Linked DNA regions of Nothobranchius furzeri. The protein of the gene in region 1 interacts with the protein of each later gene in a pairwise test. Links are inferred from orthologs where the notes say so. Each region holds a gene or a part of one and is shown in the gene's direction. Other genes may lie near its edges.

Region 1 (4,279 bases):
CTGACGTCAACTGAGGCTATAGTCGGACGGTGGAAGGAATACTTTGAGGAGCTCCTCAATCCCACCAATGCGCATTCCGAGGAGGAACCAGAGCTGGGAGGCCTGGGGATGGACTGTCCGATCTCGGGGGCAGAAGTTGCTGAGGTAGTCAAACAACTACACAGCGGCGGAGCCCCGGGGGCGGATGAGGTTCGTCCTGGGTATCTCAAGGCTATGGATGTTGTAGGGCTGTCATGGTTGACACGTCTCTACAACATTGCGTGGTCATCGGGGGCAGTTCCTAGGGAGTGGCAGACCGGGGTGGTGGTCCCCATCTTTAAGAAGGGTGACCTGAGGGTGTGTTCCAACTATAGGGGGATCACACTCCTCAGCCTCCCTGGAAAGGTCTACTCCAAGGTACTGGAGAGGAGGGTCCGATCGATAGTTGAATCTCAGATAGAGGAGGAGCAATGTGGTTTTCGTCCTGGCCGTGGAACTGTGGACCAGCTCTATACCCTTGCAAGGGTGATGGAGGGGGCATGGGAGTTTGCCCAACCAATCCACATGTGCTTTGTGGATTTGGAGAAGGCTTATGACCGTGTCCCCAGGGGCACCCTGTGGGGGACGCTCCAGGAGTATGGGGTGGGTGGCTTTCTGTTAAGGGCCATTCAGTCCCTTTACCAGAGGAGCGTGAGTTTGGTCCGCATAGCCGGTAGTAAGTCGGACCTGTTCCCAGTGAGGGTTGGACTCCGCCAGGGCTGCCCTTTGTCACCGGTTCTGTTCATCACTTTTATGGACAGAATTTCTAGACGCAGCCGTGGTGTGGAGGGTGTCGAGTTTGGTGGCAGGAGAATCTCGTCTCTGCTTTTTGCGGATGATGTGGTCCTCCTAGCTTCATCCAGCTCTGACCTTCAGCTCTTGCTGGGTAGGTTCGCGGCCGAATGTGAAGCGGCTGGGATGAGGATCAGCACCTCCAAATCTGAGACCATGGTTCTCGACCGGAAAAGGGTGGCTTGCCACCTCCAGGTCGGGGGAGAGGTCCTACCTCAAGTGGAGGAGTTTAAGTATCTCGGGGTCTTGTTCACGAGTGAGGGTAGGAGGGATCGGGAGATCGACAGGCGGATTGGTTCGGCATCTGCAGTGATGCGGACGCTGAGCCGATCTGTCGTGGGGAAGAGGGAGCTGAGCCAGAAAGCCAGGCTCTCGATTTACCGGTCGATCTACGTCCCAATCCTCACCTATGGTCATGAGCTTTGGGTAATGACCGAAAGAACGAGATCGCGGGTACAAGCGGCCGAAATGAGTTTCCTCCGTAGGGTGGCCGGGCTCAGCCTTAGAGATAGGGTGAGGAGCTCGGACATTCGGGAGGGACTCGGAGTAGAACCGCTGCTCCTCCGGATCGAAAGGAGCCAGTTGAGGTGGTTTGGGCATCTGGTCAGGATGCCTCCTGGACGCCTCCCTGGGGAGGTGTTTCGGGCATGTCCTGCCGGCAGAAGGCCCCCGGGTCGACCCAGGACACGTTGGAGAAGTTACATCTCCAATCTGGTCCGGGAACGCCTTGGGGTCCTGCCGGAGGAGCTGGTGGACAAGGCCGGGGAGAGGACGGCCTGGAGCTCCCTAGTTGGGATGCTGCCCCCGCGACCCGGACCCGGATAAGCGGAGGAAGACGAGACGAGAGACGAGATTTTGAAAATTGACAAACAGGAAATAACAATCACATTGGCAACTTTGTGGGACAATCTTTTAACAGTTTATATGCTGTTCTTGCTCAAATAGACCTTCTGGTGAATTTATGAAGATTGAGAATGTTGTGACATGAATGCGTGTGTGAGTCTGATTTTGCTTCAAGAAGAAACAGGTGTCTGAGTGAAGTGATGGTTTGGATAAACTTAGGTCTTATCAGAGAACTGCATCAAACGCTAAAACCGTGCTCTGTCTCACCGAACTCTTGTGGACCCTCTTTCGGATCCGGGCCGTGGAGGATGTTGTGGTTCATCCAGATGACACCGGCGGCTGACAGGAGACATAGGTGTCGAACGGAACCGGTCCAGAGTTGCCCTCGGTACACGTGGATGGTAGAGCGTTTTATCGATGCGCTTTCTTAAGTTAATTCACTCAGAAATCAAAAGACTCGGTAATGAGTCTTCGTTAGAAGTCGCGATTCAGCTATTCTGCCTGGCTTGGCAGAAACAGCGTGAAAGGGGGGAAGAACGAGCCAACAGGCTCTGCCCCCCCTTTGGTTTTCAGGTCTGTTCTCTCTCGTTGTCCAACACGAACTGAATCCAAAGACTGAAAACTTACCAAAAACCTTTCTCTTCTCAAATCAAAACATGTGCGTCATCAAATGTGTCTGGAGTTTACTGTGGGCAAGATGTGTGTGGGTGTGTGTGCTTGAGTGTGAAGGTCAGTACCACACATTCTTAACATTATTTAAGAATGGATTCATTAAACCATTATAATTACCCCAAAGCATACTAGTCATTCATTTGATTAAACACATTTATAATGAGCAAAATGATAATGGTTATTTTAACATTAAAATCAAGAAAAAGAAGTTTAAACTTTATGTTTTGACTTGGTCTGGGTACAACTCATGTAAACACATCTTCTGGTAGACTGCAGGTGGCAGATGTTATGGTTTCCTCCCAGACTCGCTGGCGTTCAGGTCTTAATCTGTGGGTGAAAGTTCTCAGCGACCCAGCTATGACCCAGCTGAGTCCAACACCACCATTGTGACAGAAAACTCATATTTCCTCACGTTACACATGTATCAAACATTGCGTAGAATCCTTACTAAAACCGTAATTAAGCTCAGCAAAAAAAATGTACTTACGCCAAGTAGGTTTGTGATCCATCAAACGTGGAGTACGCAATCTCCACTTCATAAACCAGAGGCTATCTAGAAAGGTTCTCAGCTGCATTTTAGTCACATCCCGCCCTCACCACGCCCACTTACTGCCATAAATGGCCAGTGCAAAGTGCCTTGTGGATCTCATGCATACACATAAGCCGGCTTTTTGCAGCATTTTGATTACGACCGCAGATCAACGAAGCGCTATTTCACAGAAGCAGAAGTTGAGGTACTTGTGGGTGAGGTGGAGAAATGAAAGGAAGTGCTTTTGCAAAACAAATAAGAGAACATCCACGGAGTGGCGCAGCGTTGCTGAAGCCGTCAATGCTGAGTTCTTCAGAGAGATCTGTGGCGGATATAAAAAAATGGTCCAAACGGGATTCGATCCCCAGACTCCCAGGTGAAAGTCATGCACACGCTAACCAGTCACCCAAACGGAGAGCTACCCTGTACATGTAGCCAGGGCGCATGATCAATCGGGTCACAGTGACAGGACACACACTGTCACACACGCATGACATTCTGTCTCAATCTGCCCCCCTGCTGATATTCTGCATTCCGTATTCTGCCCTTCAGGCTGCGTGTGTGTGTGTGGGGTAGGGGGGGTCTTGTTCTGTGTGAAAACGAAGCAGTACAAGTGATAATGCTGCAGGATTTCATAATTGTATCTTCTCAGCAGCAGCACTGCAGGCGCTCTCCATGTCCAACATGTGTGTAAGCCAGCTCCTTAGTCAACTTAAAGTTGTGCACATTTTTTCGCTACGTTTTCTTTCATAAATCCCAAAGTTTGCGTGGAAAGTTGCTTACGCAGTTTTCCGACCCCGTTTTGTGTGCAAGCAAGCTTGATGAATGAGGCCCCTCCTCTGCAAAGCCAGTCCTTATTCTTCCCTCATGATCTAACTGTAAAGTTTCCTAACCATCCAGCACATTGCTGATTCTACCTTTTAAAAGAACGCATTACAGGATTTTGGATGTTTTCCTGCAGACCCTTTAATGTTGCTCCTCCCACTTTGTTACAGAGGAGTTCGATAAAGAAACAGGCCAGATTCTCAGTGGCATGGACAAACTGCCCCCAGACCTGAAGCGGTATGTGATTGAGGACAACGAGTTGTTTGACAAGGAGGTAGAGGAGTGGGACGCCATGCAGGCCCGCAAAGCCCAGCAGGAGAAGTTAGACCTGGCCTCAGCAGCTGCTGCTTCCACCGCAGCGTCCAGCACTTCCACGTCATCATCTTCTCCGCAGCCAATGAGCATCGAGTCCAGTCCTCCAGACAATGCGGGTATGGGTCATGTACTCCAAAATCAGAACAGCAAAATGGGTTTTAACACAGGACTTAGTTAAAGGCCTTCATGTTAACAACATTAGACTTTAATCAGCGTTTAAGTCATTTAAAACCTACAGTTAAACCTGCACTTCATGCTTCTCACTCGCAAACTAGACTCCAGTGT
Region 2 (4,983 bases), on another chromosome or scaffold:
CGCTTCTGTCTGCTGCGCGGCTGCCGGCTTTCAGCAGCTTTCGGGAGACCTCTGTGTTCTACCCGGTTTTACCCAGCGGTCAGCCCGGTGTATCTCTGACTCAGAAGCTCTGGTGTTGTGCACAGTTAACTCCGGTTGTAGCTAGGTTGCTACCTCCGTTAGCTTAGCTCCCACCTCCGCGTTAGCTTTGGGTTAGCTTCAGGTTAGCTTGTATCTAGTTTGACCGGGTGTCGTCAGTTGATCCCAGCCTTACAGCCCCACCCTCAGCTCCACCTCTCTTCCCTTTTGTGGAATTGTCTGGGCTTGACGGAACCTGTGACACGGTCAAAATGGCGGTGGTGGCCACTCCCATTTTAGCACAAAAACTTATTATTGGAGTGTATGGTAACCCATTGTCCAATATTTATATGTCGATGGTTCTGTATCATGGGAGTGTGTGTCTGTGTCCAGATGAGAGGAGCTGGAACTCATGGTGTTGTGGATGAGAGCTGTCACATGGATCCAGCCTCTGTACTTGTCTTCAAAACAATGTGACAGGGCTCAGCTGCTGCTCTTCTTGTCTTACTAGACCACTGCTGCCCTTGCTTATGACAGAATGAGATTTACCCTTTTAAAGACAGTCTCACAGTTTGCCTCGAATGTCAGTTTGCGGTCAATAACTGCCATTTGTCCTGTACATCACCGGCAGTGTGTGAGTGTGAAAGTGCATGAATAATGGTGAGCACTTTGACTGCCTAGAACAACGCCATGTAAATCAAATCCATTACTATAATAATAATAATAATAATAATAATAATAATAATATTATTAGGTATTTGTACTCAACTCTTTCCACTTTGGACCTTTAATGGTTGTTAATTCTTATGGATGTTAATCAGGCTCATGATGGAGGTGTTAATAGAGATAAACCTCCTTAAACAGTTTGGTTTTGATGGGTTTGCAGACATGTTGATGGTTTAGATGAAGCTTTGTCATCTGATAAAGATCAATAGGACAGAAACATAAACCAGGTTCTTCTGTTGCTTCTAAATCTGTCTAACTTGTTAATGATGAGTAATAACAGTGGAGGATGATGGGAATTTAGTGTCTACTTGAGGTTATTTTAATTATGAAGGATTTTATGACATCATCCCTCCTGATGGCTGTAGGGATACGTGGCTCAACAGAGGCAGGACCCTCCACCAGTCTGGCTATAGAAAAGAAAAGAAAAAAACCCGAGTTGTTCTTGTTCTTCTCTATTACGTATTAATGAATTATACTCAGCTCCAGCTCAGCAGAGAAAGTTCTCGTTAATAACAAGCTGTCTCTCTAGCTTAAATAAAATTCTTTATGGAACGCTATTTTCTCTGTAACTTTCTTTAAGTCTGTTTTGAAATGTACAGCAATGAATTAAACCAGGGCGCCTCCTGCGCCTTGTGATTTTATCTTGAGAGACGCTATAAAAAAATCTTTTCTTCTTCCTCTGACCGATCACCAACAGAATCAGAGCCTGTAATGTTAGTCTGGAACCTCCGCTGCAACAAGATAATAGATTTTTGAAAAGGTCAAATTCCAGTTGATGTCCTCTATTGGTTCTCACTCATCTCCCTTGTCTCTGGTGGATGGATCTATATCTCTGGTATCCTGCACCTTCTACACTGTAACTGCTCACACCCTTTAAATTAGTATTTTTTCTGATTCTTAAATCTGAAATTAATTTGTGCATTTTAAAGGTGTGGTTTCCTTTTTTAATGATTATTTCAATAACTCTGAGATTTTCATGCAGGCTGAACATGAAAATAATCTAATTTAGTGATGACAAGATGAAGACCCAAAGGAAGGGTGAATCAGAAACTCACCTGATATCAAAAAACAACCCTAGTTAACGTGTGTTTTCATCCAACACTTCTAACCCTGGATTAGAACTAATGGATGAGGTGAAATGTCTTAAAGTAGTGGCTTTTTAAACGATCCCTTCTCTAGGATCACAGATATGGTTAGGCTACTTAGTGCCAATCTGTTTTCAGACATGTTTGTAGTTCTTTGCATGAATCTCAGCTCAGTTTGTAGAAGACCAGTTAGTAACTATTTCCTTCTTCATGTCTCCTTTTTAGGCATAAGAAGTGGAAACAACATTGGACAGTTAATTGTCCACCGTCTTCTGTGATTTTCCAGTTTTGAGGCTCTGGATTATTTATGAAAATTAAAAGTCATTCACAAGTATTTTATTTTTCTTATTTTCTTTTCAGATTAATTTTATGCTGGAGGCTGAAATTTGTGACAAGGCTGCTTGGAGGCCATCAGCACCTAAAAAACAACATGGCGGACACCATGAATGCGTTGCCGTTCTTCTACGGCAACATCACAAGGGAAGAGGCGGAGGTCTACCTGCGGCAGTCAGGCTTGACCAGTGGCTTGTATCTGTTACGACAAAGCCGAAACTATCTAGGCGGCTTTGCGCTCTCTGTTTCATTCTCAGGCCGCATCTATCACTACACCATTGAACGACAACCCAATGAGACGTTTGCGATTGCCGGTGGTAAGAGCCACAGAACCCCCATGGATGTGATTGACTACCATTCCCAGGAGATGGATGGTCTTGTGTGTCTGCTGAAGAAGCCCTGCAACAGGCCCAAGAACATGCAGCCAAAGGTGGGGCCGTTCGAGGACTTGAAAGACAAACTCATCCGGCAGTATGTAAAGCAGACCTGGAACCTGCAGGTTAGTTTCTCTAGCATTTACATCCTTCAGGACTGATCGACTATAAACTAGTCTGATGTTGTATCTGGTCTTAGAGAGAACAAGACTAACGTGTTGCTTTGGTCCTAAAACAGCTCAGAGCTCTTAAATCTCTTAAATTTCACCTTGGTTGATGTGATGTTATTCAATAAACTCACCACGAGTCTTACTCTACATTAAATTATGTAGTTATTCAAGAGCCTAATTATCCACAGCAGCAGGTAAGTGTACTTCTGGTTCATCCAGGTATTGAGTCCAGCAGGAATTCATCTTTCTGCTGAAACCTGAGATTTTAGACATTGATGCTTTAAACCTTAGCAACACAATTTGGAACATTCAGGCTGTATCAGTGAGCTAAGGTGTGTGTATGTGTGGACTCAGTTGGGTGTTACTACGTCACTATGGCCCAGCAGCCTCCCCTCAGTCAATGCACACCCGGGGCAGCTGTGGCTACGTTGTAGCTCATCACCACTAGGGTGTGAATGACTGATTGTGTTGTGAAGCACCTTGGCCCTATGTCAAAAACAGGCTATATACAACTATTTTAACTCAACTACAAAACGCATATTGAATATCATATTAGTATTTATATTAGAGAATGATTAGTATATTTGTTCTTGCAGGGAGCAGCTCTTGAGCAGGCCATCATCAGCCAGAGACCTCAGCTTGAGAAACTCATAGCCACCACTGCTCATGAACGAATGCCCTGGTTCCACGGAGCAATAACCCGGGAGGAATCTGAGCCACGGCTCCAGTGCGGCTCCCGCACAAATGGAAAGTTCCTGTAAGTATCTGACCATGTTCACAATAAATGTTCCTAATACTAAATATTAGAGATGTTAGATATTGACTTTTTTACTGATATCCAACATACCAAATTAAATAGTCCAACTTAATAACAGATACCAATCTAAACCAACACCAATGCATGCAGGGTCGCCCTCTTGTTAAAAAACAAACCATGAACATGAATGACTTTTGTGAATGTGTTGTAACGTGGAAGAAAACAGTCTTGGGTAACATCATTCCACATCTCCTATCATGCATACTTAAACTTTAAACATTATCTTTTCAATTGAAGTGCAGCCACTTGTGCCAAACAAACAATAATATTGCTAAACCTCTACCTGGATCTATCATATTGACACTGAGAGGAAAGTAGCTGAAAGGTTTGGTGTGTCATATGTGCATGCTAGAGAGCCTTACTTTATTTTACTTTATATTAGGGCTGCACAGTACATCACAAACGTATTGTCATCGAGATATCGGCTTGCTCAATACACAAATCGCAAAGAACAGGCAAATACACTATGAATGGTCAGCTCAAACGTTTGCTACACACAATGCAAATAGAGTCCTTCACTCATTTGGCCAATCAGGTGGGTTATTTTAGGTTAGATGCAGATATGGGGTGTTTCTCAATGTCAAGAAACCTTGCCTTGATGTCTTGGTCCCGCCCCGGTTGCCTAGGATATACATCATCAGGAGCCGCCAAGGCGTGTTCCAATCGGTTCCAATGTTCATGTTCTACCGAGGCGTGTGTTCTCCGTTTGTTAGCCGCTTAACTAGCAGAGCAAGGATACACGGGAGGTGTCTTGTAGCCTAGCCTTGGTCAAAAATTACCCACAATACACCGCAGTATTTTCAAAAAGACAGCGGATCAGAAGCCGGCAGCTACTTCGGGGACAATTTTTTAGATCCAAAGAAGTTATCTATTGTTGGTTAGTTGCTTAGTAGTTGCAGCTTCGTTGGCTAGCGGGTAGTAACTCACTTTTATTTTTTATTTAATAAACATATACACAATTTAAAAAGTAAAAGGCTTGTTATATATTTATACTGAAACAAATACATATATCTCCCGTGTCATGTGACGTTACGTGACTGCCGTAAAAGCCGCAGTCACGTGATGCAAGTCTGTTCCATTTAACCGTTTTCTTTAAATGATAAATGATAAATGACCTGCACTTGTATAGCGCCTCTCAGAGTAAGGACTCCAAAGCGCTTTACACTATAGTGTATCATTCATCCATTCACACACACATTCACACACTGATGGGGATGAGCTACGATGTAGCCACAGCTGCCCTGGGGCTCACTGACAGAGGCGAGGCTGCCGAGCACAGGCGCCACCGGACCCTCCGACCACCACGAGCAGGCAAGGTGGGTTAAGTGTCTTGCCCGATCACTGGACAATCCGCTCAACCTGTTGAGCTACTGCTGCCCCTTCCTTTGACCGAGAAAGGACAGTGTCCTCGCAAGCAAGGC

The links.
Region 2: the proteins of usp25 (region 1) and syk interact in binary tests that used the Homo sapiens proteins (3 or more experiments, as listed by UniProt). The link is inferred for Nothobranchius furzeri from reciprocal best matches to the Homo sapiens genes USP25 and SYK.

What each region holds. Positions count from the first base shown.
Region 1 is NC_091750.1:42,746,630-42,750,908, reverse strand, and holds part of usp25 (ubiquitin carboxyl-terminal hydrolase 25), read left to right. Parts: intron 1-3,849; coding exon 3,850-4,110; intron 4,111-4,279. UniProt on the Homo sapiens protein: Deubiquitinating enzyme that hydrolyzes ubiquitin moieties conjugated to substrates and thus, functions in various biological processes including inflammation and immune response.
Region 2 is NC_091746.1:36,410,503-36,415,485, reverse strand, and holds the start of syk (tyrosine-protein kinase SYK), read left to right. Parts: upstream 1-2,041; 5' UTR 2,042-2,175; coding exon 2,176-2,700; intron 2,701-3,341; coding exon 3,342-3,502; intron 3,503-4,983. UniProt on the Homo sapiens protein: Non-receptor tyrosine kinase which mediates signal transduction downstream of a variety of transmembrane receptors including classical immunoreceptors like the B-cell receptor (BCR).